Callithrix jacchus: one gene and its partner. The protein of the gene in region 1 interacts with the protein of each later gene in a biochemical or structural test. Links are inferred from orthologs where the notes say so. Each region holds a gene or a part of one and is shown on either strand. Other genes may lie near its edges. The genes, in order: KEAP1 and AMER1.

Region 1 (16,055 bases):
ACGAGAGACAGTCGATCAACAAACAAGCAAAGCAGGTCATTTCAGTTCCTGACAAGCTCAGTGATGGCAATTTAACAGGGAAGAGGAGACTGAATTGAGCCCCAGAAAGAGGGGAGTGAGAACTTGCAGATCCACTTGGGGGGGCCACTTGGAGATCCCCCACACCTTTCAAAACATAACTCATATCTGGGCACAGCAGCCTGTGCCTGTAATCCCAGCATTTTGGAAGGCCAAGGAGGGGGAATCACTTGAGGCCGGGAGTTCGAGACCAGCCTGGCCAACATGGTGAAACCCATCTCTACTAAAAATACAAAAAAATTAGCCCATCCTGGTGGTGGGTACCTATAATCCCAGCTACTCTGGAGGCCGAGGTATGAGAATAGTTTGAACCTGGGGTTGCAGTAAGCCAAGATCATGCCACTGCACTCCAGCCTGGGCAACAGAGCAAGACTCTGTCTTGAAAAACAAAACACAAAGCACGTAACTCATCTCCTGGTCCACCAGGCTCCAGGGGTTTGCATGAAACCCTTCCTTAAGTCCTTAGCTCTCTCTCACTGCACTCCTTCCTAATTCTCCAGATTGGCTGTCTCAGCCTCTGAGCCACTGCACTTGCTGTTCCCTCTGCCTGGAAGACTGCTCCCTGGCCTCCCACTTTATAATAATTTTCATCCTTGTCTCAGCTCCAACCTCACCTTCTCAAAGAGGCTTGCACTGCTTGATTTAAAAAAACTGTACCCAAGGCCAGGCCTGTAGTCCTAGCACTTTGGGAGGCCGAGGCAGGTGGATCACTTGAGGTCACGAGTTCGAGACCAGCCTCGCCAACATGGTGAAACCCTGTCTCTATTAAAAATACAACAATTAGCCAGGCATGGTGGCATACCCTTGTAATCCCAGCTACTTGGGAGGCTGAGGCAGGAGGATCGCTTCAATCCAGGAGGCAGAGATTACAGTGAACCGAGATCCTGCCATTGCACTCCAGCCTGGGTGACAGAGTGAGACTCTGTCTCAAAAAAAAAAAAAAAACCACAAAAAACAAACTGCACCCGATTCTCAGCCCGTTGTGGTGGCTAGCGCCTGTAATTGTAGCTACTCAGGAGACTGAGGCTTGAGAATAGCTTGACTAGCTTGTCACAATGCCATTGTAATTCTCTTTATGAAGCTAGATTTTGCCTAATTTATGATTGTTCCTCCCTGCAGTTGTTAGCTCCAGGAGGGTAGGATTTTTGTGTGTTTTGCTCACTGCTGTGTCTTCAGCACCCAGATCAGTGCCTGGCATACAGTAAACACCCAATAAATGGTGAGGCAAATGAAGGAATGAGCTTGGTATGCTCTAGAAAGGGAAAGACCACCAGATTACTGAAACAGAATGAGCAAAGGGAAGAGGTGGCAGGGGCCAATTGAATAGGGCTTTGCAGGCTGTTGAGGAGTTCTATTTTACTAGGTACTGTGGGAGATGTTGGAGGATCCAGAGCTGGGGAGAGACATAATCTCACCTGCGTTTTAAGATGAGCTCTTGGGCTGGTCCGGTCAGGGGGAAGTTTGCAAGTTTGCAAATAGACTCTGCTTCACCTACTTTGCAGGAAAACTGACCTAGAAATTGCTTTCTCTTACAAAAGGAGGCCAAGCAGGTGCTGGCCCAGCCCCAACCCCTGCCCCCTACCCTGTGCTGTCTCCCCTCCAGGCCCCTGAGTACCAGAGGTGGTGGTGTTGCTTATCTGCTGGAACCCCATGCAGCCAGAACCCAGGCCTAGCGGAGCTGGGGCCTGCAGCAGATTCCTGCCCCTGCGGTCAGAGTGCCCCGACGGGGGAGGGGACGCAGTGATGTACGCCTCCACGGAGTGCAAGGCGGAGGTGACGCCCTCCCAGCACGGCAACCGCACCTTCAGCTACACCCTGGAGGATCATACCAAGCAGGCCTTTGGCATCATGAATGAGCTGCGGCTCAGCCAGCAGCTGTGTGACGTCACCCTGCAGGTCAAGTACCAGGACACGCCAGCCGCTCAGTTCATGGCTCACAAGGTGGTGCTGGCCTCTTCTAGCCCTGTCTTCAAGGCCATGTTCACCAATGGGCTGCGGGAGCAGGGCATGGAGGTGGTGTCCATCGAGGGCATCCACCCCAAGGTCATGGAGCGCCTCATCGAATTCGCCTACACAGCCTCCATCTCCATGGGCGAGAAATGTGTCCTCCACGTCATGAACGGTGCTGTCATGTACCAGATCGACAGCGTTGTCCGTGCCTGTAGTGACTTCCTGGTGCAGCAGCTGGACCCCAGCAATGCCATCGGCATCGCCAACTTCGCTGAGCAGATTGGCTGTGTGGAGTTGCACCAGCGTGCCCGGGAGTACATCTACATGCATTTCGGGGAGGTGAGCGGGGGACGGGGCTGGCGGTAGTGTCAGGTGAAGGACCAGGGATGGAGGAGTGCTCATCACAGTCTCCCATCTTGAGATGTGAAAGGTCACTGTCTCCCATTGAGATATGAAGGCAGGAAACTGGAGAAAAAGGAGGTTCTGGGCTGGGCATGGTGGCTCACGTTTGCAGTCCCCACACTTTGGGAGGCCGAGGTGGGAGGATCGCTTGAGGCCAAGAGTTCAAGACCAGCTTGGGCAACATAATGAGACCCTGTCTGTAAACAAACAAACAAACAAGAAACAACAGGGGCTGGGCATGGTGGCTCACGTTTGCAGTCCCACTTTGGGAGGCCAAGGCAGGTAGATCACCTGAGGTCAGGAGTTCAAGACCAGCCTGGCCAACATGGTGAAAACCCATCTCTGCTGAAAATACAAAAATTAGTTGGGCATGGTGGTGCACCTGTAGTCCCAGCTGCTTGGGAGGCTGAGGCAGGAGAATCTCTTGAACCTGGGAGGCGGAGGTTGCAGTGAGCCGACATCGAGCCGCAACACTCCAGTCTGGGTGACAGAGCAAGACTCAGTCTCAAAAAAAAAAAATTTAAAAAACAACTGGAGTTCTGAGTTGTCTACACATGTAGGGAGACTTGTGAACAGCTGGGGGAGGTGAGGTCTTCTTGGGTCTCTGGGCTCCCTGGTTTCTTTGGGGTCAAAGGTGGGGACAGAATGCAGTGAAAAGCAGCCAAATCCTGGGGCAGCCCAGCCTTTTGGGCAGTCAGCAAATGTTTATCAGACACCCATAACAGGCTGCAAGTCTGAACCTTAGTCTTGTTTTTTTTGGTGCACGAAATTTCCTTACACTGTTTTTGGTTTCATTTTCATTTCTCAGTGAAGGAAATTATCTATAGAAATTGACAAGAAAGGGCCAGGTGCTGTGGCTCAGGTCTGTAATCCCAGCACTTTGGGAAGCTGAAGCAAGCGGATCACTTGAGGTCAGGAATTTGAGGCCACCCTGACCAACATGGTTATACCCCGTCTTGGCCAGGCACCGTGGCTCACACCTGTAATCTCAGCACTTTGGGAGGCCGAGGCAGGTGGATCACCTGAGGTCAGGAGTTTGAGACCAGCCTGACCAATGTGGTGAAACCCCATCTCTTACCAAAAATACAAAAAAAGGAAAATTAGCCAGGCATGCTGGCATTTGACTGTAGTCCCTGCTACTTGGGAAGTTGAGACAGGAGAATCCTTTGAACCTGGGAGGTGGACATTGCAGTGAGCCAAGATCGCACCATTGCACCCAAGCCTGGGTGACAGCGAGATTCCGTCTCAAAAAAATAAAAATAAAAATAAACTCAGAAAAAATAAGTAACATATTCTTTTTATTTTATTTTATTTTATTTTTTAAAGATGGGGTTTCACCATGATGGCCAGGCTGGTCTTGAACTCCTGACCTCAGGTGATCTGCCCACCTTGGCCTCCCAAAGTGCTTGGATTACAGGCTGGATTACCGCATCCAGCCCTATAAGTAACACATTCTTAAAGTTCAAAAACCAAGTCAGTTATGGTGATGCACACCTGTAATCCCAGCTACTCAGGAGGCTGAGGTAGGAGAATCATTTGAGCTTAAGAGTTCGAGACCAGCCCGGGCAACAAAGTGAGATCCCACATCAAAAAACGACAAGGCTGGGTGCGGTGGCTCCTGTCTGTAATCTCAGCAATTTGGGAGGTCAAGGCAGGTGGATCACTTGAGGTCAGGAGTTCAAGACCAGCCTGGCCAACATGGTGAAACCCCATCTCTACCATAAAAATACAAAAATTAGCTGGGTGTGGTAGCACACACCTGTAGTCCCAGTGACTCGGAAGGCTGAGGTGAGAAGATCGTTTGAGCCCAGAAATTTGAGGCTGCAGTGAGCTATAATCGTGCCACTGCACTCCAACCTGAGCAACAAAGCAAAACCCTGTCTTAAAAGCAAAAACAGGTCGGGTGTGGTAGCTCACACACCTGTAACCCCAGCACTGTGGGAGGCTGAGATGGGCAGATCATGTAAGATCAAGAGTTTGAGACAAGCTTGGCCAACATGGAGAAACCTCATCTGTACTAACAATACAAAAATTCCAGCCTGACCAACATAGTGAAACCCCCTCTCTACTAAAAATAAATACAAGGCTGGGTGCAATGGCTCAGGCCTGTAATCCCAGCACTTTGGGAGGCCAAGGCGGGAGGATCACCTGAAATTAGGAGCTTGAAACCAGCCTGGCCAACATGGAGAAACCCCATATCTATTAAAAATACAAAAAAATTAGCCAGGCATGATGGCAGGTGCCTGTAATCCCAGCTACTGGGGAGGCTGAGGCAGGAGAATCACTTGAACCTGGGAGGCAGAGTTTGCAGTGAGCCGAGATTGCGCCACTGGACTTCAGTCTGGGTGACAGAGTGAGACTCTGTCTCAAAATAAATAAATACAAAAAAATTATCTGAGTGTGGTGGCACACTCCTGTAATCCTAGCTACTTGGGAGACTGAGGCAGGAGAATTGCTTGAACCCGGGAGGCAAAGGTTGCAGTGAACCAAGATTTCACCACTGCACTCCAGCTTGGGCAACAGAGCGAGACTCTGTATCAAAAAAAAAGGAAAAGAAAAAGAAAGAAATAAAATTAGCTGGGCATATTGGTGGGCGCCTGTAATCTCAGCTACTCAGGTGGGTGAGGTGGGAGAATAACTTGAACCTGGGAAGCGGAGGTTGCAGTGAGCCGAGATAGTGCCACTGCACTGCAGCCTGGGTGACTGAGACTCCATCTCAAAAAACAAACAAAACCAAAAAACAAATGATACTGCAGGGTATACCATCTATTGAGTCTTTGCCCATTTCCCTGAGTCCTGATGACATGCCTGGCATGTAGCATTAACTCATTTAATGGTTACAATGTATGCGGTTCCTATCATTCAGATCCCCATTTAGCAGATGAGGAAGCTGAGACTCTCAGCGGCACTGGTGAGCTTCTTGTCCTGGGTCCTGCTTGGTGAGGGGTGGGGGCGATTTGGGAGTCAGCCTTCCCACTGTCGCCCTCTGCAGGTGGCCAAGCAAGAGGAGTTCTTCAACCTGTCCCACTGCCAACTGGTGACCCTGATCAGCAGGGACGACCTGAACGTGCGCTGCGAGTCCGAGGTCTTCCACGCCTGCATCAACTGGGTCAAGTACGACTGCGAGCAGCGGCGCTTCTATGTCCAGGCGCTGCTGCGGGCCGTGCGCTGCCACTCGCTGACGCCGAACTTCCTGCAGATGCAGCTGCAGAAGTGTGAGATCCTGCAGTCGGACTCCCGCTGCAAGGACTACCTGGTCAAGATCTTCGAGGAGCTCACCCTGCACAAGCCCACGCAGATGATGCCCTGCCGGGCGCCCAAGGTGGGCCGCCTGATCTACACCGCGGGCGGCTACTTCCGACAGTCGCTCAGCTACCTGGAGGCTTACAACCCTAGTGACAACACCTGGCTCCGGTTGGCGGACCTGCAGGTGCCACGGAGTGGCCTGGCCGGCTGCGTGGTGGGCGGGCTGTTGTACGCCGTGGGCGGCCGGAACAACTCCCCCGACGGCAACACCGACTCCAGCGCCCTGGACTGCTACAACCCCATGACCAATCAGTGGTCGCCCTGTGCTCCCATGAGTGTGCCCCGCAATCGCATCGGGGTGGGGGTCATCGATGGGCACATCTATGCCGTCGGTGGCTCCCACGGCTGCATCCACCACAACAGTGTGGAGAGGTGAGTGGTATGGCCGGGAGTGGGCTCTGAGGCTCCCACTCCTGGCAGGTCCCAAGATGCTGAGACTTGGGGATTCTTCCTGAGGCTGAGTGCCTGTCTCCTCTTTTTGTCTGCAGGGAGTGGAGGCCTCAGGATGAAGCTAAGTTCCTGAGAGAGTTCTAGTCAGTGACCTCGGATTCTGTGCCTGGGGCTGGGAAATGCTTAGGGGACTGACTGTCACAAACCCATATGGTTTCCTTTGTGTAGATCTGGAAAAAGTTCCATCAGTTTGAAATAGTTGAGCCAGGCATCGTGGCTCATACCTGTAATCCAGGACTTTGGGAGGCTGAGGTGGGAGGATTGCTTGAGCCCAGGAGACTAGCCTGGGCAATATAGTGAGACCTTGTCTCTACCAAAAAAAAAAAAAATTTATTTTTAAGACAGTGTCTTGCTTTGCTACCTAGGCTGGAGTGCACTGGTGCCATCTTGGGTCACTGCAGCCTCCGCCTTCCAGGTTCAAGTGACTCTCCTGCCTCAGCGCCCCCGAGTAGCTGGGACTACAGATACCTGCCACCATGCCTGGCTAATTTTTGTATTTTTTGTAGAGATGGGGTTTTGCCATGTTGGCCAGGCTGGTCTTGGACTCCTTTCCTCAAGGGATTCTCCCACCTCGGCCTCCCAAAGTGCTGGGATTACAGCTGTGAGCCACTAGGCCGGACCTAAAGGACTCTGTGAGCATCAACGAGTGAAGCTGAATATGCCATTTCTCCTTTCTGAGATGTTATTTTATCATCTGTGAAGTGTGGGGTCTGGCTGAGCCCTTAGGGGCCCATCAGATATGGTTTTGAACTTGAGCAGTTGATGGCCTGGAGGCTCAGTTTCTTCACCTGGAAAATGGAGCTACGGATATCAGTCCTTGGAGAATGGCTGCAAACATTGGTGTTTGAGGGTAGGTGGGCGCAGTGGCGTGCACCTGTAGTCCCAGCTACTTAGGAGGCTGAGCCAGGAGGATTTCTGGAGCCCAAGAGTTTGAAGCTGCAGGCCAAGTGTGGTGGCTCATGTCTGTAATCCCAGCACTTTGGGAGGCTGAGGCAGGTGGATCACTTGAGGTTAGGAGTTTGAGACCAGCCTGGCCAACATGGAAAAACCCCATTTCTACTAAAAATACAAAAATCAGGCCAGGTGCAGTGTCTCACACTTGTAATCCCAGCACTTTGGGAGGCCAAGGCAGGTGGATCATGAGGTCAGGAGATCAAGTCCCGCCTGGCTAACACAGTGAAAGCCCATCTCTACTAAAAATATAAAATTAGCCGGGCATTGCGGTGGACACCTCTAATCCCAGCTACTTGGAGGCTGAGGCAGAAGAATTACCTGAACCCGGGAGGTGGAGGTTGCAGTGAGCCAAGATCATGCCACTGCACTCTGGCACCTGGGTGATAGAGCTAGTCTCCGTCTCAAAAAAAAAAAATTAGCCGGGCAGGTGGTGGGTGCCTGTAATCCCAGCTACTCTGGAGGCTGAGGCTGGAGAATCACTTGAACCCAGGAGGTGGAGGTCACAGTGAGCAGAGATCGTGCTGTTGCACTCCAGCCTGGGTGACGAGCAAAAACTCCATCTCAAAAAAAAAAAAGAAGGGTCTGAAGTTTCATTAAGCTGTGATGGTGCCACTGCTCTCCAGCCTGGACAACAGAACAAGACCTTGTCTATTTAAGGGAAGCAAAAAAGAACGAACAGGGCCCTTAAGTATTCCACAAAGGTCAGCTATAATGGCCATTGTCACCATTGTTCTCACGCCCTTGCAGGTATGAGCCAGAGCGAGATGAGTGGCACTTGGTGGCCCCAATGCTGACACGAAGGATCGGGGTGGGCGTGGCCGTCCTGAATCGTCTGCTATATGCCGTCGGGGGATTTGATGGGACGAACCGCCTTAATTCAGCTGAGTGCTATTATCTAGAGCGGAACGAGTGGCGAATGATCACACCCATGAACACCATCCGGAGCGGGGCAGGTACTTGAGGACGGCAGGGAGGGGAGCGTCCAGGACCACCACCCCCTCATCATCCTAGGGTGAAACTGAACCAGGCCTGGGAGAGACCCCCCTGTTGTCACCCTCACCCTGGGTACCCACAGAAGCACTGGATTCTGATGGAGTCCAAGCTTCTCTCTCTCCCACTTCATTTCTGAGGGTGAGAAGGTAGAGGAGAGAGGAAAAGTCTCCCTCAAGGAGGTGATGGCTGGGGTTCCTGAAGCCAGACCCCAGAATCACCTTCTGTGCACGGTGTCCTTTAGGTGTCTGCGTCCTGCACAACTGTATCTATGCTGCCGGGGGCTATGATGGTCAGGATCAGCTGAACAGCGTGGAGCGGTATGACGTGGAAACAGAGACGTGGACGTTCGTGGCCCCCATGAAGCACCGGCGAAGTGCCCTGGGGATCACTGTGCACCAGGGGAGAATCTACGTCCTTGGTGAGGCCCTGGGGGTGGGGAAGAGTCCTGACTAGTCTCATCTGTTGTGGACAGGTGGCTGCTTTTGCTTTTCTTTTCTTTTTTTTTTTAGAAACAGTGTCTCATGGCTGGGCACGGTAGCTCACGCCTGTAATCCCAGCACTTTGGGAGTCTGAAGCGGGTAGATCACCTGAGGTCAGGAGTTTGAGACGAGCATGGCCAACGTGGTAAAACCCTGTCTCTACTAAAAATACAAAAATTAGCCAGGCATAGTGGAGCACGCTTGTAATCTCAGCTACTCAGGAGGCTGAGGCACGAGAATTGCTTGAACCCGGGAGGCAGAGGTTGCAGTAAGCTGAAATTGCACCTTGCACTCCAGCCTGGGCAACAAGAGCAAAACTCCATCTAAAAAAGAAAAGCAAAGCCGGGCGCAGTGGCTCACACCTGTAATCCCAGCATTTTGGGAGGCCAAGGCGGGCAGATCACAAGATCAAAAGATCAAGACCATCCTGGTCAACATGGTGAAACCCCGTCTCTTAAAAAAAAAAAAAAAAAAAAAAAGTGAAAAGAAAAGAAACAGGGTCTTGCTCTGTTGCCCAGGCTGGAGTGCAGTAGTGTGATCACAGCTCACTGCAGCCTTAACCACCTGGGCTCCAGCCATCCTCCTGTCTCAGCCTCCCAAGGATCGGGGACCATAGGCATGCACCCACCACACCTGGCTAATCTTATTTCTTTTTATTTTGTTTTGTTGAGGAGTTTCACTCTTGTTACCGAGGCTGGAGTGCAATAGTGCGATCTCAGCTCACTGCAACCTCCGCCTCCCAGGTTCAAGCAATTCTCCTGTCTCAGCCTCCCAAGTAGCTGGGACTACAGGTGCACATCACCATACCTGGCTAATTTTGTATTTTTAGTAGAGATGGGGTTTCTCCATGTTGGCCAAGCTAGTCTCAAACTCCTGACCTCAAGTGATCCACCTGCTTCGGCCTCCCAAACTGTTAGGATTACAGGCGTGAGCCACTCTGTCCAGCTTTTGTTTTATGTTTTAAAATTTTTATCTATTTACTACTTTTGAGAGAAAGTCTTACTCTGTTGCCCACACTGGAGTGCAGTGGCACAACACTGGCTCATTGCAGTCTCCTCCTCCCTGGTTTAAACATTCTATCTCCACCTCCCAAGTAGCTGGGATTATAGGCATGCGACACCAAGCCCAGCTAATTTTTGTACATTTTGTGCATACAGGGTTTCACTATGTTGTCCAGGATAGTATTGAACTCAGGTGATCTGCCCGCCTCAGCCTCCAAAGTGCTGGGATTGCAATCATGAGCCACCATGAGCGGCCTATTTTTATTGATTTATTTTGAGACACGGTCTTACTCTGTTTCCCAGGCTAGAGTACAGTGGTGCAATCTCTGCTCACTGCAACCTCGGCCTCCCAGGCTCAACTGTTCCTCCCCACCTCAGCCTCCCTAGTAGCTGGGACTACAGGCGAGCACCACCATGCCTGGCTAAATTTTTGTCTTTTTTTGTAGAGACAGGGCTTCACCATGTTGCCCAGGCTGGTCTCAAACTCCTGGACTCAAGTGATCCACCTGCCTCAGCCTCCCAAAGTGCTGGGATTACAGGCCTGAGCTACCATGCCTGGCCTTTTTTTTTTTTGTAAGAGACTAGGGTTTTGCTATGTCGCCCTGGCTGGCCTCGAACTCCTGGCCTCAAACAATCCTCCCGCCTAAGCCCTGCAAAGTGCTGGGATTATAGGTGTGAGCCACCATGCCCGGCCTGCTTTTGTATCTTGCAGCTGCTTCTCCCTCTTTCTGTCCCCTGCTTTTGGATGTGGCATGACAGGTGGTAACCGTCCCTTCTGTTCTCCCTGTAGGAGGCTATGACGGTCACACATTCCTGGACAGTGTGGAGTGTTATGACCCAGACACAGACACCTGGAGTGAGGTGACCCGAATGACATCAGGCCGGAGTGGGGTGGGCGTGGCTGTCACCATGGAGCCCTGTCGGAAGCAGATCGACCAGCAGAACTGTACCTGTTGAGGCACTTTTGTTTCTTGGACGAAAACACAGTCCAATGGGGAATATTGTTGTTTTTGTATAAAAACCGGGACTGAAAGAAAAGACGGCACTGCAAATAACCCATCCTCTGGGAAGGGAGGCCGGGATGCCTCAGTGTTAAAATGACATCTCAAAAGAAGTCCAAAGCAGGAACCATGTGCCCTCAGCAGAGCCCCAGGAGTGTCCAAGACAGCCTGGCTGGGAACAGGGGTGTGAGAAGAGCAGGTTTCCAGGAGAGAGGCCCCCAAACCCTCTGCCCAGCAGTAGGCCTGGGTCCGACCCACTCCAGCAGCCGTCACCTTATGATTTGTTCTTGGATACCTGGGAGGGTGCCAAGGGGGCCTCACGGGGAGGCCCCCTCTGGAAATACGGTTCCTAGGGATGGAACTGTACATACAAGCCACCAAATGGCACTTCCCTGGACAGTTATTTTGTTGATAAGTAACCCTGTAATTTTCCAAGGAAAATAAAGAACAGACTAACTAGTGTCTTTCACCCTGGCTCTCGGCTGAAGGTCTGAAACCCGGAGACAGAAAGGGCTCTTCTCCTGAAATACACTTCTCTTTGACTTAGGGCTGGTCATTGAAACCAGTTTGGAATCTTTACCCGTCGCATTTTGATATGTAGGGCATCTTTCTCCCCATCAGCAAGCCACACAGTTGTCTTTAAGTTTCAGCTGCCTTGGAAGACAAAGGAGCTAATTCCTTGTGACATCTCCACATCTCCTAGGGCTCCCCAAGGTCAATTTCTTTTTTTTGAGACAGTTTCATGCTTGTTGCCCAGGCTGGAGTGCAATGGCTCGATCTTGGCTCACCGCAACCTCCACCTCCTGGGTTCAAGCAATTCTCCTGCCTCAGCCTCCCAAGTAGCTGGGATTACAGGCACCCAACACCATGCCCAGCTAATTTTGTATTTTTAGTAGAGACAGTGTTTCTCCATGTTGGTCAGGCTGGTCTTGAACTCCTGACCTCAGGTAATCTGCCCACCTCAGCCTCCCAAAGTGTTGGGATTACAGGCATGAGCCACCACGCTTGGCCATTTTCGTTTTTTTTTTTTTTAAAGACAGGGTTTCACCATATTGGTCAGGCTGGTCTTGAACTCCTGACCTCAGGTGATCCGCCCGCCTCAGCCTCCCAAAGTGCTGGGATTATAGGCATGAGCCACCGCACCCGGCTCATTTTCGTATTTTTAGTAGAGACGAAAATGGTTCTGCCGTGTTGGCCACGCTGGTCTCAAACTCCTGACCTCAGGTGATCTGCCCCACTCAGCCCACAAAGAGCTGCGCCTGGCCGAGACCTTGTTTTTTTAAAAAAAAAAAAAAGTTTAGTCAATTCAATTAAGCAATTTTGGTATCAGCTGTTTCTTTTTTCTTTTTTTTTGAGACAATCTCATCCGTCACTCAGGCTGCAGTGTAGTGGGGTGGTCACGGCTCACTGCAGCCTCAACTTACTGCAATGAGGAAATCCTCCCAGCTCAGCCTCTTCAATAGCTGGGACCACCATGCCCTGCTAATTTATTTTTTGTAATTTATTTTTGCCATGTTGCCCGGCCTACACCCACTTTCCAACTCCACAAAAACCAACTTCTTTTGAGTCCCTATTCTGGGCTTTGGGGAGATGGTGGTGAACGAACCTGCAGTGATGCCTGACCTCGGGCTGGGTGACCCATTTATCCAAGTTTGAGCATAGAAAGGCTGGCAGCCCCCAAGCCACATAAACCAGGGCTGTTGGCCACACCACAGGTAAGCCAGATGCTGCAGCTGAGGGACTACATGTATTGAGGGACCAGCAGGCAGGGTTCTGGTGAAGTCACATTTTGATTGCTTGATTTTGAGACCAAGTCCCCCTCTGACATTCCGGCTGGAGTGCAGTAGCTGGATCTCAGCTCACTGCAACCTCTGCCTCCCAGGTTCAAGCAATTCTTGTGCCTCAGCCTCCCAGGTAGCTGGGACTCCAGGCGTCTGCCACCGTGCCTGGCTAATTGTAAAATAGCAAATCTTACTCTCTCACCATTCCAGCCCCACTCTAATCTTACGACAAACAAACAGAAAAACTTTGCAGCAATGTTCTGTTCCTTTACACAAATGGATGATGCTGCCTGCATTCTGCAACTTGCCTTTTTTCCTTCAGATCTTCTAGACCATCTGTGGCGTCACATTCCTGTAACCAGCTGCCTGGTGTTCTGTCTCTTCCATTAGGGACAGATGGTTAAGTTGTTTCTGTTTTCTCAGAATTACACGCAAAGGCTTCAACGCCCTCTTGTAGTTGTGTCTCTGTAGGCACAACTGTGTGTTTTCTCAAGGTGGATGCTATGAGGTGGAATTGATTAGATCATCAAAGAGGCAAAGCCCTAGCAGATGCTGCCAGATTCTCCCCCAAAGCACTTGACACATTACATTCCTGCTGTTTTCCTGGGAGTGCTTCATAAATTCATTTATTTAATTATTAATTTCTTTCTTTTTTTTTTTTTTTGAGATGGAGTTGCTCTGTTGCCCAGGCTGGAGTGCAGTGGTGCAATCTCCGCTCACTGCAACCTCTGCCTCCTGGGTTCAAGCGATTCTCCTGCCCCAACCTTCCCAGTAGCTGGGATTACAGGCTACCATTCCTGGCTAATTTTTGTTTTTTGTTATTTTTTTGTTATTTATTTTTTATTTTTAAGACACAGGATTTCACCATGTTGGTCAGGCTGGTCTCGAACTCCTGACCTCAAGTGATCCACCCACCTTGGCCTCCCAAAGTGCTGGTATTACAGGAGTGAGCCACCACACCTGGACCAGCCTGTGAATTTTAAATTATACAGCTAAGGTGCTCCGGTGTTAAATGTTATCGTGATCATTCTAACTTCAACAATCTTGACAATTCTGCCTTATTTCAGCATTTCAGGTTTCCAGTACTTACCTCATTCCTAAGTAAATATTACATTACCAGCACTTCGGGAGGCTGAGTCAGGGGATCCCTTGAGCCCAGGAGTTCAAGACCAGCCTGGGAAATAAAGCAAAAGATCGTGTCACTGCACTCCAACCTGGGTGAAAGAGTAAGACTCTCTCAAAAATAAAAATAAATAAAAATGACAGGCTGTCCAGGTACAGTGGTTCATGCCAATAATCCCAGCACTTTGGGAGGCTGAGGCAGGAGGGTCACTCGAGCCCGGGAGTTTGAGGCTACATTGAGCTATGATTGCACTACAGTACTCTAGCCTGGGTGACATAGTGATATACCAACTCTCTAAAATAAAATAAGGCCAGATGCAGTGGCTCACACCTGTAATCCCAGCACTTTGGGAGGCTGAGGTGGGCGGATCACGAGGTCAGTAATTCAAGACCGGACTGGCAAACATGGCAAAACCGTGTCTCTACTAAAAATAAAAAAATTAGGCAGGTGCAGTGGCACAAGCCTGCAGTCCCAGCTACCCTGGAGGCTAAGGCAGGAGAATCACTTGAACCTGGGAGGCAGAGGTTGCACTGAGCCAAGATTGCACCACTGTACTCCAGCCTGGGTGACAGAGCAAGACTAAAATGAATACATAGGCTGGGCTCGGTGGCTCACACCTGTAATCCTGGCACTTTGGGAGGCCGAAGCAGGTGGATCACTTGAGGTCAGAAATTTGAGACCAGTCTGGCCTACATGGCAAAGCGCTGTCTTTACTAAAAACACAAAAAGTAGCCAGGTGAGGTGGTGTGTGCCCGTAATCCCAGCTACTCAGAATGTATAGCTCTGTGATGAATATCCTCAGGGCTGATTCAGGAAGTTCCATCTAAAAGGCAGATAGCACCCTCTTGTGGGCCTCTGGGTGAAAGAGGAACTTTTTTTTTTTTTTTTGGAGACTGAGTTTTGCTCTTGTTACCCAGGCTGGAGTGCAATGGCGCCATCTCGGCTGACGGCAACCTCCGCCTCCTGGGTTCAGGCAATTCTGCCTCAGCCTCCTGAGTAGCTGGGATTACAGGCACGCACCAGCATGCCCAGCTAATTTTTTGTATTTTTAGTAGAGACGGGGTTTCACCATATTGACCAGGATGGTCTTGATCTCTTGACCTCGTGATCCACCCACCTTGGTCTCCCAAAGTGCTGGGATTACAGGCGTGAGCCACTGAGCCTGGCCTAACAGGAACTTAGGAAAGTCAGAAACGGAACAAGATTGAGTTCCTGGCTTGTTCCTATTTTTAAAAGTAGCATTCTTAAGGCCAGGAACGATGCTCATGCCTATGATCCCAGCACTTTGGGAAGCCATGGCAGGCAGATCACTTGAGGTCAGGAGTTCGAGATCAGCCTGGCCAACATGGTGAAACCCTGTCTCCACTAAAAATACAAGTATTAGCCGGGCATGGTGGCAGGTGCCTGTAATCCCAACTACCCAGGAAGCTGAGGTAGTAGAATCGCTTGAACCCAGGAGGCAGAGGTTGCCGTGAGCTGAGAGCCTGCCATTTTACTCCACCCTGGGCAACAAAAGTAGCATTCGTCAAAACTTCAGAACAAATGATATTTATTTCTTTTCTTTTTTTGAGATGGAGTTTTGCTCTTGTTACCCAGGCTGGAGTGCAATGGTACGATCTCGGCTCACCGCAACCTCTGCCTCCTGGGTTCAGGCAATTCTCCGCCTGATATTTCTTATAAATCAAATAAAACTACACATGCGATGGCCAGGCACAGTGGCTCACGCCTATAATCCCAGCATTTTGGGAGGCCGGGGTGGGTGGATCACGAGGTCAAGAGATCTAGACCATCCTGGTCAACAAGGTGAAACCCCGACTCTACTAAAAATACAAAAATTAGCTGGGCATGGTGGTGCGCGCCTGTAGTCCCAGCTACTCGGGAGGCTGAGACAGGAGAATTGCTTGAACCCAGAAGGCTGAGATTGCGGTGAGCCGAGATGGGGCCATTGCACTCCAGTCTGGGTAACAGCAGCGAAACTCTGTCTCAAAAAAAAAAAAAAAAAAAAAAACTGCACATGCTTTGAGGAAGTTCCCTATTTAAAGGACCCACCCTCCTGTGAGCACCAACACCATATCCACTGCTCAGGGTTGTAACTGATTTTATGGTGCTGCCTTTTTTTTTTTTTTCTTTTGACAGAGTCTTGCTCTGTCACCCAGGCTGGAGAACAGTGGCACAATATTGGCTCAATGCAACCTCCACCTCCCAGGTTCAAGCAATTCTCCTGTCTCAGCCTCCCGAGTAGCTGGGATTACAGAGAAGCCCATACTCAGCTAATTTTATTTTTTTTTAATTCTCAGAGCCTGGCCGGGAGAAATTTTTTTTTCCAGCTAATTTTTTTTTTCTTTGAGACACAGTCTAGCTCTGTCACCCAGGCTGGAGTGCAGTGGCGCTATCGCGGCTCACTGCAACATCCGCCTCCTAGGTTCAAGCAATTCTGCCTCAGCCTACGGAATAGCTGAGATTAGAGGCGCCGCCACCACGTGTGACATAGTGAATTTCTTTATCAGCTGGTTTTGGTTCCCCCCATCTTCTCGAGG
Region 2 (16,155 bases), on another chromosome or scaffold:
ATCATGACAGAAAGTAGGCTGCGGTAGAAGTTGCTGGGGCCATTCCACCTCCCTCAGGCCATTCTGAGGCCAGTAGAAGCCTGGCTACAAAGGAAGAGCTTCTTCCTTCTCCTCTCCACTTAAAATATAGGCAGGAGGCCAACCACATACCTGCCCTAGAGAACCTTCTCAAGGAGAAGGGACAGCTGCAACATGACCCTTACTCCAAATCCGCTTCCTGGGGCCAGCTTGGCCAACTTAGATAGGGCTGAATTGGGGGAAGAAAGAGAAGCATGTGGATTTATGCAGTAGTTCCAGAGGCATGGCCTCGACCAGCTATAGTTCCTCAGGACTGTTCTAAGCAATCTTCCTGGAGGCAAGCCCACTTCAGGTCCACCTGCCTTTCTGTATGCTGGGGAGGGTTGGTTATGGAAAAAATGGTGAGGATGGCCCTCCAAAGAGCTGTCCAGTTCTGAGCTGGAATCAACTCTGCCCAGCCAGAGAAAATCCAGCAAGTTTTTTCACATGTTTATGCCTCAGCTTCCTTAACTGTTAAATGAGGCTATTGAGAGTGCCTACCTCTTAAGGCTATTATTGTAAAAAGTAAAACCAATGCACATAATGTACCAAATCAAGTGCATTACATAGCAGAAGCTCAAAACATTATAGTAACTAACTTTCATTCATATTTTATTCAAACTATGGTAGGACGATTCTTAGAAGAAAAATCATCTCAGTCAGAGTTGAGTAGGGTGCTCCCTAGGGCTCTGTGGGTAAGTCACCAAACCTCCTTGGGGCTCATTTTCCCCAAATGGCAAATAGTAAATGAGGATAACTGTGTGGTGATGTCTTAGGAGGCTTTACTTGCTCATTCAGCCAACTTTTGAAATTCAGGGACCTAAAAGAGTCAGCAACTGGCTAGCAGCGAAGGATTATCTGGGACTTTCAACTAGCCAGGTTCTGTAGCCCAGGTCAAACTCAGCTAAAAGTACCAACATCAAAAGAAATGCAAATCGACAATACCCTCAGGGTATTTATCGCTTTACAAAGCACTCCCCACTCCCACACCCCCCATTTGCCTCCTCAGCCACCCATTAATCAGGCCTGGTGGGGGATGGCAACTCCTTGTCACAGAGAAGGAAACTGTGCAGAGACTTGGGAGAAGACTTGTCCAAGGTCACATAGTGTAATGGTGACAAAGCCACACTAGCTCCTAGAACTGTTGAGTCTCAGTTTCATGCCACTCTGCTATATTGTGCAGGCCACCAATCAAAGGAGGAAGACTGAGCGACAGAACTGCAAAGGTTCCCCTCATATCAGTAGGAACTATAATCTCCCACTCCCATCCCACCTCTGTTCCAGTCTAGCTAAGCCTTCTTTGCAGCATTTCCAGTCCACACTGGTTGCCACCGTTCAGGCCCTATGAAGCACATTCCAGAAAGCCTGCTGACATCAGAATATAGGGGCCAACAACCCAGCCTGTGGTTGCTCTCCTCACCAGCAACCCCACCATCACTCCTCTCAAACTACAGGACATGTCACTCTACTCCCCTTTTCCTTAAGAGATAGGTTTGAGTGGCCCAAAAACCAGAAACCTGCCAACATGGATGAAGATGAAGAATCTGAGCTATTTGAAGAGAATGACTTATCAGATGATCTGGAACTTGAATGATCTATTTCTAAAACCCATAGCCAAGTACTATTTGCTCAGGGCCTGAAGGAAGGCTTGCTTGGCTTGGTACCCTCTGATGGAGCTGCAGAGGCAGCTGGCAGAGCCCCCTCAGCTACACCTGCAACTACTCCTCCTCTAATTTCCAGCCTTCCTGCTGAGGGGTACCTCCTGCCCAGGGACATCTCACCAACTCCAGATACAGCAAGACCCCAAACTGGGACTTCTCTCCTCTGCCCCTATTCCCCCACCAGCCCCCTCAACTGACTTGTTCACATACTGAGCTTCATGTAATTCATTCATCTCTCTCAAATGGACCCTCCTTCATCTTACAGTCACTACCTCTAGCACATAGCAGGAGCTCAAACAACACTGATTCAACTGAAATCTAACTCAGCTGGTTTCTTGGCCCAGAACTGGAATGTCAGCCTCACCTTCTATTGGCTGTGTGGTTTGAGAAAGTGGCCTAACCTCTCTGAAACTCAAATGCTTTATCTGTAAAATGAAGAAAATGCTATTTATCATGCAAGATTGTGGTAAGAATTAGAGATGATCAGTGTAAAAGCAAACTGATAACTAGACACTAAGTGGATATTCAATAAAGGGCTCTCATAATGAGGCCACCTTTCTCTCCATCACCTCAACTGCCACCCCACATTCTCCAAAGGTGACACAAGCCTCTTAACTGAGCCCCCTCTAGTCCCTTCCTACTGCAGACTCCCTGGCTCCCCTCTTCGATCTTATCCATCCTGTACACTGTTGCCAGAGTCATTTTCTTACAACCCCTATTTCAACACATCACTCCTCCATTTATCAAATTATTCTGCATTGCCTGCAGGATAAGGGCCAAACCTCTGTGTCTGATATTGATGGCTTGCTCTCCCTGAGTGCCCCTGGCAAGTTTGTCAGCTTCGTTTCTCTACCTCTTGGCCCCAGCTCCAAATACACAGGGGCTTGCCCAGTCTGGGAGATGTGGTCATCCACATACCACCTCTCCCTAGAAATGGGATTTCCTGGCGAGGCTTCTTAGTGCCCCAGGTTTCTCCTCAAGCTCTTGAGGTCCCCTCCCTGCCCAGCTTCCCTTGAATGATAGGGGCTCTTACTTACCATTCCCATCCCAGGCTCCCAAACTTTCTTGGAGAGAGGTGCCTGCCTGCATAGGCTTCCACGAAGTCAGTACTAGACCAGCTAGAGAGTGAGATCAGACATGCACCAACTCTTCCCCACCCCCTCTTCAAATGAAGAACAGGAGAGGAGCTAACTCCAGGGAAACAGATGTGACAGAGCAGCTGAGGAAACCCTACAGAGGAGCAGCTGGGCCAAGTGAACAATGGAGGCCTCTGACATTCCTATGTGTCCACTCCCCTCTACAAACCATGCCCTGTGGGAAAGGCCAAGTGAGGAAACTGAGGCTTGGGAGGGGACTAGAAGAATGTGATTTGAGGAAGAACTCGATTTGAATCGGGGACCAGGAGCTTTGGACTTCTGTGTAAACTTGAGCAAATTCTTTCCCTGTTTTGGACCTCAGTTTCTTCATCTAAAAATGGGAAACTGGACCAGGGAGTCTGCTTGCTCCAGGTTGCCCTGAAAGGCTGGGAGAGGAGTGATCCTGTGCCCAGTTTTCTACTGGCTGCTGAGTCAGGAGGCATAGCAAGGAACACCGGATTGGCTGTGGGGGTCCTAGGTCTTACTGGTAGATCTGTTATCTAGCTGGCTGGACCTAGTTCACCACTTCAGGACAGCGGTGCACTGTAGCCCAGCCTCACTCCTTGCACCACCTCTCAACATTTTGCTCTTTCAGAATGCACTGGGCCTGGCCTGTGAATATTTCCAATATATCCAGAAAGGAGGGGGCCCAGAATTGGTCATGCCATTCCGTGCTCTCCTGAAAAGAGCCACAGCCCCAGGCCAGAAGGGCCAAACAGATGGAGAGGAAGGGTTAAGGCATGCTGACTGAGGATGGAAGGTTAGTATCCGTATCTGCTTGGAAGCCCAGCAGGGGAAAAAAACAGTAGGAGATGAAAGCAATGAAAGCTCTATGATGAAAAAAAAATGCAGATCAAAGGGTCGCAAAGGCCCCTGCAGCAGCAGTGTGCCTGCCTATGACCACACCATGCCCCTCAAGCCATTTTCTCCACTGTTCATATTTTCCCCGAATTCCAAAAGGGTGGAGAGAGCAAAGTAGTCTTAATAGGCTGGTACCTGTACCTCTGTAGTGGTTCTGGTTTCCCTGCCTGCCTTTGCTAGAAATACACTTACACATGCACAGGTTTGAAAAATAAGACAAAGCAGCGGAGATGGAAGACTCTGAGATTATTTAATTCAGAGAACAGAAGTTGGAGGTGAAGAGAGAATTTAGTGTCTATGAAATCTCTATTGGATTGTTAAGCAGACGAGCAATGGTGGCCAGCTGCTCTCAGCTCCTTCCCCCAACACATACACATACACACAAACACACATGCAAGGTTTAACTACAGCATGAAAGGCTCAGAATAGCCCTGAGAATGAACTGGACAATGAGGCAGGTGACCCAGAAGTGAGTGACACAGAAAGGCTATGAAATATTGCCATGGGGTCTTAACCCTTTATCACCCACTGCATCTGCCCAGACAGGATTCAGGCAGGGAAACTGAAATAACATTGGAAATTATCTCTTCTAGCCTCAGATACCCTATCTGTTAAGCAATGGGGGCTGGAAACCCCTTCTCCTTCTTAGTTCTACCTGCCAGGCTTGCTTCTGTTTCCTAGTGGAGCAGGGCTGTTTCTCCCACACATACTATCCAAGAGTGGAGATGTAACAGTTCTTGAGAAATTTTGTTTTTTGAGACAGGGTCTTTCTCTGCTGCCTAGGCTGGAGTGCAGTGGCATGAACATGGCTCACTGCAGCCTTGATGTCTCAGGCCCAAGAGATCCTTCTACCTCAGCCTTCCGAGTAGCTGGGACCACAGATGCACACCACCACCACCACCCCAGGCTAATTTTTTTGTATTTTTCATAGAGATGAGGTTTCACCATGTTGCCCAGGCTGGTCTCGAACTCCTGGGGTCAAGTGATCCACCTGGCTAGGCCTCCCAAAATGCTGGAATTGCATATGTGAACCACCATGCTTGAAGAATTTTTAACACCTCCACTATACTAGGAGGGGGTCATTAGACTGCCAGATTCTTTTAACTACTTCCTCTCCTTCTGAAATATTTAGTCCAAGCAAAGCTGCAGACCAAGACCAAGAGGCAAAAGAGATAGGAAACGACAGAGAGGTTCCTCTTATGAAGCTCCCAAGTTAACTCAGTCCCCCTTTCCTCTTAGGGAATGAGGGAGGTAAGATGAGGGTGATGGTTAATGAGATCTGCATTGATTCCTGTACAGCGGCCCTTTCCACTGAACACAGTAGAAAGGGCTGCTGTACAGGAAGCAGCAGTCTATCCCTAAATAGCTGTGTGACCTTAAGCAAGCCCCTGTTTCTTTCCAAGGCTCAGGATTCCCATCTGTAAGCACAGGAGTTCAACCTGGTGCTAACCCGAGGACCAACAAAAGCCCCCATCAGCAGAGGCCTGGGGGACACGTCTCAGCCCCAACCACGTTGGTATTTATGCCCAGCTTCCTACTTCTTCCTGCCTTTTCCCCTGCATTTCCAAAAGGAGGCTGACATACTAAAACTTTCCTTTGGAGGTAGCCTGCCCACAGCTCTATTTCCAGATTCAAAGGTGGCTTCTTACCTGCCTGACTTTGCAGCAAGCTTCTGATCCCTTTCTAAGACCCCATTCTAAATCTCATTTGAAAAGTTTGTATTATAGCATATATATATAAAAAAATACCAACTCCCTGCCAAGTCCCTACTCTTTGATGCCCCCTTCCCCTAAAAGGATCAGATTCCCTTTCTACAGCCCGGCATCTGGGAAACCCCACCACTGAGCCTCAACCTCTTCTCTACCTCTGAGCCACACCATCTAAACCAGAATAGACTCAGTTACCCCCCTCACCCTGCCTGTCAACCACTCTCTCCCCTCCCATTCCTAGGTCTGCTTACCCTTTGCCTACCAAACACCTCTACTCTCTGGCAGCTTCCAAGGATGATCCCCCTGCTTGTACAGATCTTTCATCTCTCTCTCCCTGTAGTTTGCCTCTAGGCTCATGAATCAGCAACCAAAGATATGCATAGTCTGGGGTCTGAGCATTCCAAATCCTGAGCCTGTTGTTGGGGGAGGATATATCCTAATTTTTTTCTTGTAATTGCAATCATCCCCCTTCTAATCTGTCCTTATTAGGCACAGTCAATACATATCTCAGCTTTGAGTACCATTTTTCTAGTCACTTTCATATGAATCAGGATAAGCACAAGTTGGAAAGGCAAAGGTCTTCTCGAAAACTACAAAGAAAGCAAGTCCTTCTGGAACAATCATTACACTTGGCTTTGAGAGGCTTGTGGCTGAGGTCCAGGTTTTATTTACTCCTCCAAAGGGTTATGAGAGAACCCAGACATCCATGATATCAGAGACACAAAACAGAGACAGGCCAACTTAATTATAGTCTGCCTCCTATTATAATTTAGGCCTGAATATGCCCAGGAGAAGTAAGCAGCCCTGGAGGAGTTCCGAGAAGAAAGAAGTCAACATGGGTGGGCAAGACCCAGGCAGAAAAGGCACCAAGGAAAAGGTAGGCCCAGAACTGGGGTCTGAGAAGTAAGATTTGGACAGGTGTAGGCTGAGTGGGTTTGAGCGTGTGCAAGGGAGTTACATAGAGCACATACATTAGGTGCCTGTTGGCCTGAGACAAGGCAGAGGGCAGGTCCAGCCCTGGGATGGAGATGCCCAGCTGCAAGTAGAGGTTTGTGTTGGGGCCTAATCAAGGTGGGAGGGGGTGACTGTAGTGTAATATCTGTGGTCCTGGCTCCTGTCATAAAAGTCCATATCTAGCCTTCCCCCAAGTGAGGGATTTACTGGGTCTCATTGCCCCTCCTCAAAGACACCAAAGCTTGCCTGGGCCCTGCAGCCCAAAGGGCTCTCCAAACCAGAGGTTAATCAAAGGTCCAAGAAGAGCCTACCAAGCCCCTCAGTTGCTTCCTCTGTCCTATTCCTCAGAAAGGGCTAAGAGCTCACTGCCAGAGGTACACCGTGGTGCAGTAACTGTACAGTGCGTGGGGCTGAATGAGGGGAGCTGCACTGGGGAAGGGGGCTCTGCTTGAAACCCAGTGGGGCAGGCAGTCCAACAGTGCAGTGCCCTGCCCTCCACCTTGCCCATGCCGCTGCAGCAGGCAAGCAGAGCCGCAGAGGGAGGTGTCTGTGTGCGGAACAAGGCTTGCCTTGACCCCACGTCCCATGCCAAGGGGAACGTGGCCAAACAGAGACCAGCTCTGCGGGGCCAGTTCAGCTGCCGCCTAGGTGCTTGGGCTGTGACGCATGCGGCCGGCCCAGCCCCTCACCACTGGGGGAGCGCAAGCAAAGTCCAGCGTTCGGGCGATCACCAGTGTCAGAAGTGCCTCCAGCAGACAATGACAGCGGCCTGGCGGGCTGGGTATGTTAAGTAACTGCGAAGTTGGAGGGTTTGGCCACCTCGCTAGATCTCTTGTACACACGGAGATGGTATGATGCGTTTCGTACTACAATGACGGACCTTTCGGCTTCTGGCAAGCCAGTGCCCCCCCAAACACCGTGTCCATCGCTATTTTTAAACCAGAGGCTGCAGAGAAAAAAGCGGCCAGTATCTTCCAAGGGAAAAGGAGGTGAGGCGAGGGGGGAGACAAAGCGGCCTTGCAGCTCTAACTCAAGGACTAGCTTGGGCCGCTGCTCTAACCCAAGGACCAGCAAGAGCCCGGCTGCCAGCCAGCCTGCCCGACCGCGGGGGCGGGCGCCAGATGCGCCTGGAGGCCCAGGAGGAGGGGCGCGGCTAGTTGGGGCCGCAAGGCCAAGGTTCTGAAGGGAAGTGTGCAACTGAGCTCAGCCCACAGGCCCGACTGAACTCCTCAGGGGAGGGGGCAGTCTGTGGATGTCTTAATCTACGCCAAAGCCGGTCTCTGTCGGGCCCAAGCCAGAACGCCAGCTTGAGTCCGCAGAAAGGAGGGACAGGCTGGAGATGCACAGGGGAGGAGAGGGGCGGCAGCCAGGCAGCCGGGGTGAGCAGTACCCGTGTAACACAGCTGTTCCAGCAAATGTGCTACAACAAAGCTGCGGAGCTCCCGGCCTACAAATGCACGACTTGGGGTGCTGGCTGGAGGCGCCCTTCCCGGGACTATGCGGCAGCACGTGCGGGCCCATCTCCGCCTCTCGGGAGAGCCGGGAGGGATGGCCCAGGCTAGCCTGCCTGCCTATCCGCCCTCCCCTCCCCCCTCCCCCCAGCGGTGGTCACTTGTGCCCAGGGGACTCAGGCCGCTCGGCCTCTTACCCGACAGTCCGCAAAGCGGGTTCCAAAGGAGAGGGGCGAGAGACCGGGACTCCGACCCGCCCAGTCCTCAGTGCACTCCTCCAGTCCGTAGGAGCAGAGCACGCGGGAATGCACCCGACCGCTGGCAGGCGGAGGCTCCTGGCTGTGCGCAACGCTTACCCGGCCCGGTCAGGTTCCCAGCGCGGTTATTGTCCGCTGCGCCGCCCTTGGCCGGGCTGCAGCCTAGGCTGCCGCGGCTGAGAGCGCCGCCACCGCAGCTGCTGCCCCTACCGCCGCGGCTCCAGTCACCTCCTGCACTGACTCCCCTTCCCCAGGCTTTGGGTAGCTCCCCCATACCCCCTCCCCCCCGTACTCCATGGCCACTGGGTGGGGCATCTGCGTCCTGATTGGCAGGGGCATGACCCAATCACTATGGTGAGAAGGCGTGCCCGGCCCGCCCACTGTTTTCCTTGGTGCGTTTCTCTTTAAATGCAAATAAGTACGGGCGTGGTGTTGGCAGGGGGCGGAGAGGGTGCGGAACCCCTGGCTGGGGCTCCCCTCTCCTGCCCCCACGCCGGGCGGGTAGTGGCGTGGCTGCACCGTGGCCTCAAGGAGCCGCTCCTGCCCGGATGGGGTTCACCGGATCCCTGGAGCTCGGTTTCGGTTTTCACGCACTCCTATTTCCGTGGCCGCTGTGCATTCGCTCTACTGTGCCCTGGCCGCCACCAGGCAATTCATTCCTCAGCTAGAGGCCAGCGGGGAGTAACGAGGCAGAGAGGTTGAGGGACTTTGCAGAACCTCTTAGCACCTCGGCCTGCCCATCCTTAGTCGTAGAGACAAGGCCCTGCGAATCGTGCCCCAGGCCACCCGGAGGAGGGACTCACCTGCCAGGAAAGTCAGCTGCAGCGCCTGCGCCCCAACTTCGTCCTCCTCTCTGGCACACCAGGGCCCTTAGAGACCGTAAAGGCCAACTTCCACCCGTTACTGACGTGTTGCCCCGACTCTGCTGCCCAGAGTAGGGAAAGCCCCTCCCCACAGTTACCCAGCCTGCCGGCGACACGGGCCAATTTGGAATCCAGAGCCCCGGGCTCCCCTTCCAGGATTGCTTTCACTTTTCTTCTCTGAGATGATACCTGTTTTCATAGTTTAACCCTCACCCAAATTTCCCACCTTCTATGGAATGTGGAGGGAATCTCCAAGGTCTCCAGAGTCCCCTTTCCCCCAATCCTTTGTGAGCCTGGCTTTGTGCAGGCCTTTTTCCCTGAAAAGTCTAAATATTAAGAGGAAAATCTTGTCTGGGTCCAAACCGGAGGTCAGCCTGAGGACAAAGTGAGGAGGCCTGTACTGGCCTTGTCTGCTACTGTGTGTAGGATGTGGCAGGGAGCCAGCCGAACTTGGGTCTCTAGCTTAAGGACATTAAGTGGCATTAGTGGCTGCCAGGGCCAGGTGAGCTGAGGCAACAAAGAATCTAGTTCTACCACTAGTTCAAGAATATCCAGAAGGCCCAGCCCTAAAACTCTGTGTGTCTAAAAAGGGAGGTGGGGGGATTAAAGTTAATGATAGGGAGAAGGATTAGAGAACAATGTGTGCTATTTTTGCATTGCAGGAGTGTTCTCTGCTGCTTCTGAGTCCTGGCAGTCTTGAAAAGATCCAGCTGCTGAACTGGTAAGAGGGGGACTGCTGCCTCTGCATGGGTGGAGCACAAGAACTGACATAGCTGCTAGGGATCTGACTCCACCTCTACCTTAGACTTGCTAGACACCTTGGCCAATTCATTTTCCTCTCTGGGCCAGTCCATCACCCCATCACCATGAGGAGAGGGTAAGCATCATCAGGCCCCCTTGATATCTTTGAGATCTGACAGTTCAACTCATTTTCTTTCTATAATATTCCATGACTTTCCATGGAATATTATGGAAAACATATATGTTCCATCACCTTTCATGACATTAAATACATTGCCAGCAAAACTCAATACTGAACATTAGAGTCCCATCCTAGTACCCAGTCTAAATAAATGGTGAGGAGTAAGGAGCTGCTGCTGGCTCATTATGCAACTTTTTCCCATCAGGATGGCTGGACTATAAAGGTTTCCCTGGGGCTATGCTTTCCTGCTTCGCAAAGTCCTGATTCTCATTTGTGGGCCTGATTTTGAAGTGTCTTTTCTTTTCCAGAACCTTCATTATATCTCCTTCCTACCTCATGCCTCTGGTCACTGCAACTTGTTCACATTTTACTCAGAACTTTGATTCACTGAATCAGACCAAGATTATGATTCGGAGAAGCAGTTTATAAACTTGGGATTCAGGGAAACAAAAGGCCAGAGCAGTCTCAGTTGTGGAAGCAGGGCAAGAGGAGGTGTGCGAAGTAGTCAGGTGGCAGGCTCGAAGTAGTTCCAGGCACTATTGTGCTGCTCCTGTCACAGGGGCTAGTCTTCTATACCTTCTGCCCAGCCACCAAACATTCTGTGACACCAGCCCATTTTTGGAGTGACTAGTGTGGGAGAAACAACTCATGAGAAATTGAGCTAAGTCCTAAAGAAATGGGGCTTCAGGTAAGCAAAAATATTCTGTGATGCTAGAGATCTCCCAGCTGAGCACCTTTCTTTGTGGTCCTGATATTACTGAGTCTTGGGAGGATATTGTGTGTGTGTTAAGGGGAAAAGGATGTGGGAGGGGACAACACAGCTTCTTGTTTGTATGGCCCATTTCTCTCCAGGGACGATGTATGGATAAATCAAGTGTGTGCATAAACTTGCACCTCAAAATGCCTCCCTGCACAGAGAGTACTCTAAGGCCCTATTCCACATGCTAACTGACACGTGATCAACTTGTTTGGTCAAGATAGGCACTGGTGGTGGGTAGCAGGAATACTTTCTTCAGTTTGTTTGCCTGAAAAATGGAGATAATCCTCGTGCTGCCTAGTGTCTTGTGGCTGCGGTGAAAAGCTGGTAAGAACAGATGTCTGGGCTTTGTGGAGGCAACTCCATAAACTCAAGTAGACAGACTAGGCCACATCATTACAATGCCCGTTTCTTTCTTCACCAAGTTTTCCATAGTCATTTCCTCTATGCCTGGCCTGTTGATAGGTACTGGGGGAAGCAGTACAGTGATAACCATTTTGAGGCACCTGGGAATGGGGTTCTGAGAGGAACTGAAAGCTAGACTAGAGGTCTGGCAAAGGTGTTCTGGAGCATTGCAGATGAAAAGACTCCTTCTCCCCAGGGTGGCAAGGGGAATCAGAGAAATGTTCCATGGACGATAGCTTTGATGGTTGGATCAAATGAGAAAAGTAGGGGAAAGGTTTCTGCCCAAGCCAAAGCCCATCGGTGAGAGGGTATGGTGGGTTGGGCAAGAGCTATGATTCTGGATGGCTGTGGCTAAGTATTTGTGTAGTGGGGAGAGGAAGAGCTGGACATTATACCAGAAAGAAAGGCCTGGGGCCAAAGTGTAAGAGACTGTGACTGCCTGGATAAATTGAGGCTCAACTAGCTAAGTTCATCCTTCCCAGGGATGTGGTACGTTGTAGTGGCTCTGCCACCAGACTGCCTGGGCTGGGATGCCAGGCTCACCAGTTAGAAGCAATATGATCTTGGCTGGCTAATTCACCTGTCTGAGTCTCAACATTTTTTTTTCTGCAAAATGAGAATAATAGCACCAATATCACAGAATTGTGTAAGATTTGAATAGTCCATGTAAAGTGGCACAGAGACTAGTCCATATGCTGGTCTCAATAAATGTTAGCTACTGATACTGTTATTATTATTGGTCTCCTTCTGATCCAATGTACAGATCTTCAGAATTATGGAAATGCTAATTTGACTTTGAAGCCAGTTTTTAATGTAAACACACACGAGGCTATGATTTCTTATGCACAGATTCATTTTGATCGTGCAAACCCAGACTCAGTTTCCCAGGGAAGAATCTGTTGTTCAACTTTATATCCTCAGCACCCAACAGAGAGCTTGGCACAAACTTGGTGATGAGCATGTGTTTACTGAACATAGTCAAATGAGGCATTTTCAGGCCTAATATCAAGCTTAAGTGCCAGCATTCACCAGTGAAGTGTGATGTTACCACTCATTGAGCACCTCCTTTATGCCATGCCCTGTGTTAAGTGACACACTCATTACCCAGAATGATGGACTACACACAGCTTCTGGCCTCAAGGGCAGTCAGTCTAGTGGAGGAGGAAAAAAACTCATGAGTTTTTTACTTGGGCAAGGGACTGCTGGATGGTGTTGTCATCCACTGAACTGATGAATATAGGAACAGAATTCGGAAAATGTAACGATTTTGGTTAGGACATACAGAATTTTGTCAGAAATCCCACTTAGGGTCTTTGTGCAGGCTGTTCCCTCTGCCTACAATGTTTGTCCTCTGAATATTGCCATAGTTTGCACCTCAGTTCCTTCAGGTAGCTGCTCAAATGTCATTAATAGTGACACATTCACTGGACAGTTGATTTATAAAATAGCAATCCCCATTTCCACCCCCTTCACTCTCCAATTCTTTAATTGGGCTTTGTTTTTTTCTTATCCATAGCATTTACCACCTCTTGGTATATGTCTTATTGTTATTTATTTATTTTCGTGTCATGTTTAAATTGTCTGTTTCTCATTATGAAAATGGAAACTCTGTGAGGGATAGACAATGAACAAATACATACATAAAATATACAATACTTCAGATGACAATAAATGTGATGGCAATCCTAGTGTAGTGGCATGTGCCTGTAGTCCCAGCTACTCAGGAGGCTGAAGCAGGAGGATAGCTTAAGTCCAGGAGTTCTGGGCTGTAGTGCACTATGCTGATAGGGTGTCTGCATTAAGTTCAGCATTAGTATGGTGACCTCCCAGGAGAGGGGGACCATCAGGCTGCCTAAGGAGGTATGAATTGGCTAAGATCAGAAATGGAGCATGTAAAAACTTCCATGTTGATCAGTAATGGGATTGTGCCTGTGAATGGCCACTGCACTGCAGTCCGGGGAACACTGACCTTGTCTCTTAAAAAAATAATATGATAAAGAAAAATAGACCAGGGAATGGGTACAGGGAGTACTGAGGGGTGCTCTTTTAAACAAGGAAGTTGGAGAAGGTGATATTTTAGCAAAGATCTAGAGCAACTGAGAGAGCAAACCATGAGGATGTCTAGAGAAAGAGCGTTCCAGGTAAATACAAAGTCTCTGACGTGGTGACATGCTGAAATGTTAGAGGAGCATCTAGGCAAGCCAGTGTACCTGGAACACAGTGAGTGTGGAGGAAAGTTGTAGACGAGGAGGTCAGAGAGGACGCAGGGAAACAGACAATGTACAGTTTTGTGAATCATTTTAACGACTTTAGACTTTGCAGGATTTTGAGCTGAGGAGTCACATGACTTTAGTAAAACATCTGGGGAGCTATAGCAGCAAGGAAAGAAGCAGAGATGTCAGGAAGGAGGCTCTGATCAGGATCCATATCAGGTTAGAGGCAGTGGAGGTGGTGGAAACTGATTGGACGCTGGATGTATTTGGAAGACAGAACTGGCTGGACTTGGTGTTGACACCTTAGATGAATGGTGTGAGAGAAAGAGGAGACTGAAGAATACAAGCCCACAAAGCCCTGAGGAGGGATTGGCAATGTGAAACCAGAGCAAAGAGAAATGGCTCTCCTGGAAGCCAAGTAAGGTACTGGGATTTTATAAAAGACAGAGTTACCAAGAGCATATGTGTCAGATGCTGCCCAGAAATCCAGCAAGATACAGGCAGAAAAGATGCCATTGGATGTGAATCTGGCAAGTCACTGGTGATATGGGCAAGGCTAGTTCAGGACAGAGCTGTAGATATACACCACACTGTGCTGGGGTGTCAGGAGAATGGTCTATGAGAAAAGGGAAAATGTATGCAGCTTCCTTGTTCTAGAAATTTGACCGCAAATATGTAATAGATAGAGGGGGCTCTGGAGTTCGGGTTTGTTTTTACAAGATGGAAGGAGGTGAGTTTGTTTATGTGCTGAGGGGAAAAGAAATCAATCAAGTAGAAGATATAGGTAACAAGATAATTGATGGGTGGGGGCTACAGGTGAGAGTGGAGGATGGAATCCAGAGCCCTTACAGATGAGTTAGCTTTTGCTGCAGTAGGGATCAAGACAAGAGGGAAAAATGGGTGGATTCAGTGGAGTCTGTTGTTATGGAAGATTGAAGATGCCACTCCTTATCACCCTTACCTGCTCTGGGAAGAAGGAGGCAAAATTCTTAGTTGGCAGTGAGAGGAAAAGCAATACTGGAGGGAGGTTCAAGGAAGACTGTTAATTTGGACAAGATTTGAAATAGCCACTGTGGACAATGGGCTAGTTGGTAAAGGCCCAACTAGGCTGTCAACCAATAATGTATAGCCACCTCATTCTGCAGTTCTGTGACATCCTGCTTCCTAGCTGTGTGGCCTAGAGCAACTTCACCTACTTAACTTCACTGCACCTCAATTTCCTCATCTATAAAATGGGCATGAGTAAAACGAAGCATTGAATTAAATGAGTTAATCCATGTGAAGTGATTACTGAGGACACTGCCTGGCACATATAAGTACTTGATGGAAATAAACTCTTGAGAGTTATTTTTATTTTTGATTGACAAATCATAATTGTATACACTTACGGGATATATGATATTTTTATATATGTATACAATGTGGCATGATTAAATCAAGCTAATTAACATATCCATCACCTTGTTTACCTGTCATTTTTTTTATGGTGAGACATTTGAAATTAACTGTCTTCGTTACTTTGAAATAAATAATGCATTCTTACTGCCTTCAGTCACTGTCCTGTGCAATTGATCTCAAAACCTGTTTCTCCTGTGTATTAGCCAGTGTTCTCTAGAGGAACAGGATTAATAGAATAGATGTATATATAAAAGGGAGTTTATTAAGGAGAATTGACTCACATGATCACAAGGTGAAGTCCCAGAATAGGCTGTGTGCAAGCTGAGGAGCAAGGAAGCCAGTCCAAATTGGAACACTGCAAAGGTGGGGAGGCTGACATTGCAGTCTTCAGTCAGTGGTGAAGGCCTGAGAGCACCTAACAAACCACTGGTGTAAGTCCAAGAGTCTGAAAGCTGAAGAACTTGGAACGTGATGTTCTAGGGCAGAAAGCATCCAGCACAAGAGAATGATGAAGGCTGAAAGACTCAGACAGTCTATGCCTTCCATGTTCTTCTGCCTGCTTTATTCCAGCTGAGCTGGCAGCTGGTTAGATTGTGCTCACCCAGGTTGAGAGTGGGTCTGCCTCTCCCAGTCCACTGACTGAAACGTTAATCTCCTTTGGCAACACCCTCATAGACACACCCAGGAAAAATACTTGGCATCCTTCAATCCAATCAAGCAGACACTCAATATTAACCATGATAAGTCCACCCCTTGTCAACTTGAACCCATACACATCTCCTGAAATCATATGTAATCTTTAAATAAAGACAATAGTAAGGTCAAAATTATGCCTAACATAATATACAACCAGAAGGTGACTAATCCTCAGCCTAAATGCTATTGCATAAAGATAACAACATTTAAATGCTGATAGGAAGTCAATAAATCTTATGTCACATGATAAAGGAAAAAAGAGGGAAATAAAATGAAGATATTTTCTCAGTGCAAGTGTATACATACATAGACATGTTCTTAACAAAATAAGGAGGAAATACTCATGACAATTACAGCCCTCATTTCTGCAACTGCTCTGCAACTGTTATTGATGACTATAATCTTCTAATACCCATTTTGCATTCCTTCCCTTGAGCAAGCACCTCAGCAGGTCATGGTTTTTTACCTGGTGGATTGACCCAAACCTTCATTTCTGAAGGATCTGGGCTATCTGTAGTCCTGCCTGGATTGGGTTGTTGTAGTTTCTCATTGACTTTAATCACAGGGTACAGTAATACTATGAGACACTGTAAGGGACCTCCTTGCTTACCTCCATTGTGGAGTAGTAGACTGATTTTAACTTGACAGTCTGGGTCAATCACCTCAGCCAACATTGGAACTTCCTTGTTAGCCTGTTGACTTAGAGGTAGGAGGAGCCCAAAGTCTCTGGGTGGCAATCTTAACTTCCAGTATAATGGAATCATTACTGTGTCTCCTTGTGGCAGTATTTCTCCCTCTGAAACTAAGACCTCTAG

What was found.
Region 2: the proteins of KEAP1 (region 1) and AMER1 form a complex in vitro, tested with the Homo sapiens proteins (2 studies listed by BioGRID). The link is inferred for Callithrix jacchus from reciprocal best matches to the Homo sapiens genes KEAP1 and AMER1.

The regions. Positions count from the first base shown.
Region 1 is NC_133523.1:9,667,999-9,684,053, reverse strand, and holds the end of KEAP1 (kelch-like ECH-associated protein 1), read left to right. Parts: intron 1-1,681; 5' UTR 1,682-1,728; coding exon 1,729-2,367; intron 2,368-5,422; coding exon 5,423-6,108; intron 6,109-7,887; coding exon 7,888-8,093; intron 8,094-8,374; coding exon 8,375-8,551; intron 8,552-10,403; coding exon 10,404-10,570; 3' UTR 10,571-11,083; downstream 11,084-16,055. UniProt on the Homo sapiens protein: Substrate-specific adapter of a BCR (BTB-CUL3-RBX1) E3 ubiquitin ligase complex that regulates the response to oxidative stress by targeting NFE2L2/NRF2 for ubiquitination.
Region 2 is NC_133524.1:61,515,214-61,531,368, forward strand, and holds the start of AMER1 (APC membrane recruitment protein 1), read right to left. Parts: upstream 8,992-16,155; 5' UTR 8,890-8,991; intron 8,325-8,889; exon of another isoform or gene 8,027-8,324; intron 7,160-8,026; exon of another isoform or gene 7,038-7,159; intron 1-7,037. UniProt on the Homo sapiens protein: Regulator of the canonical Wnt signaling pathway.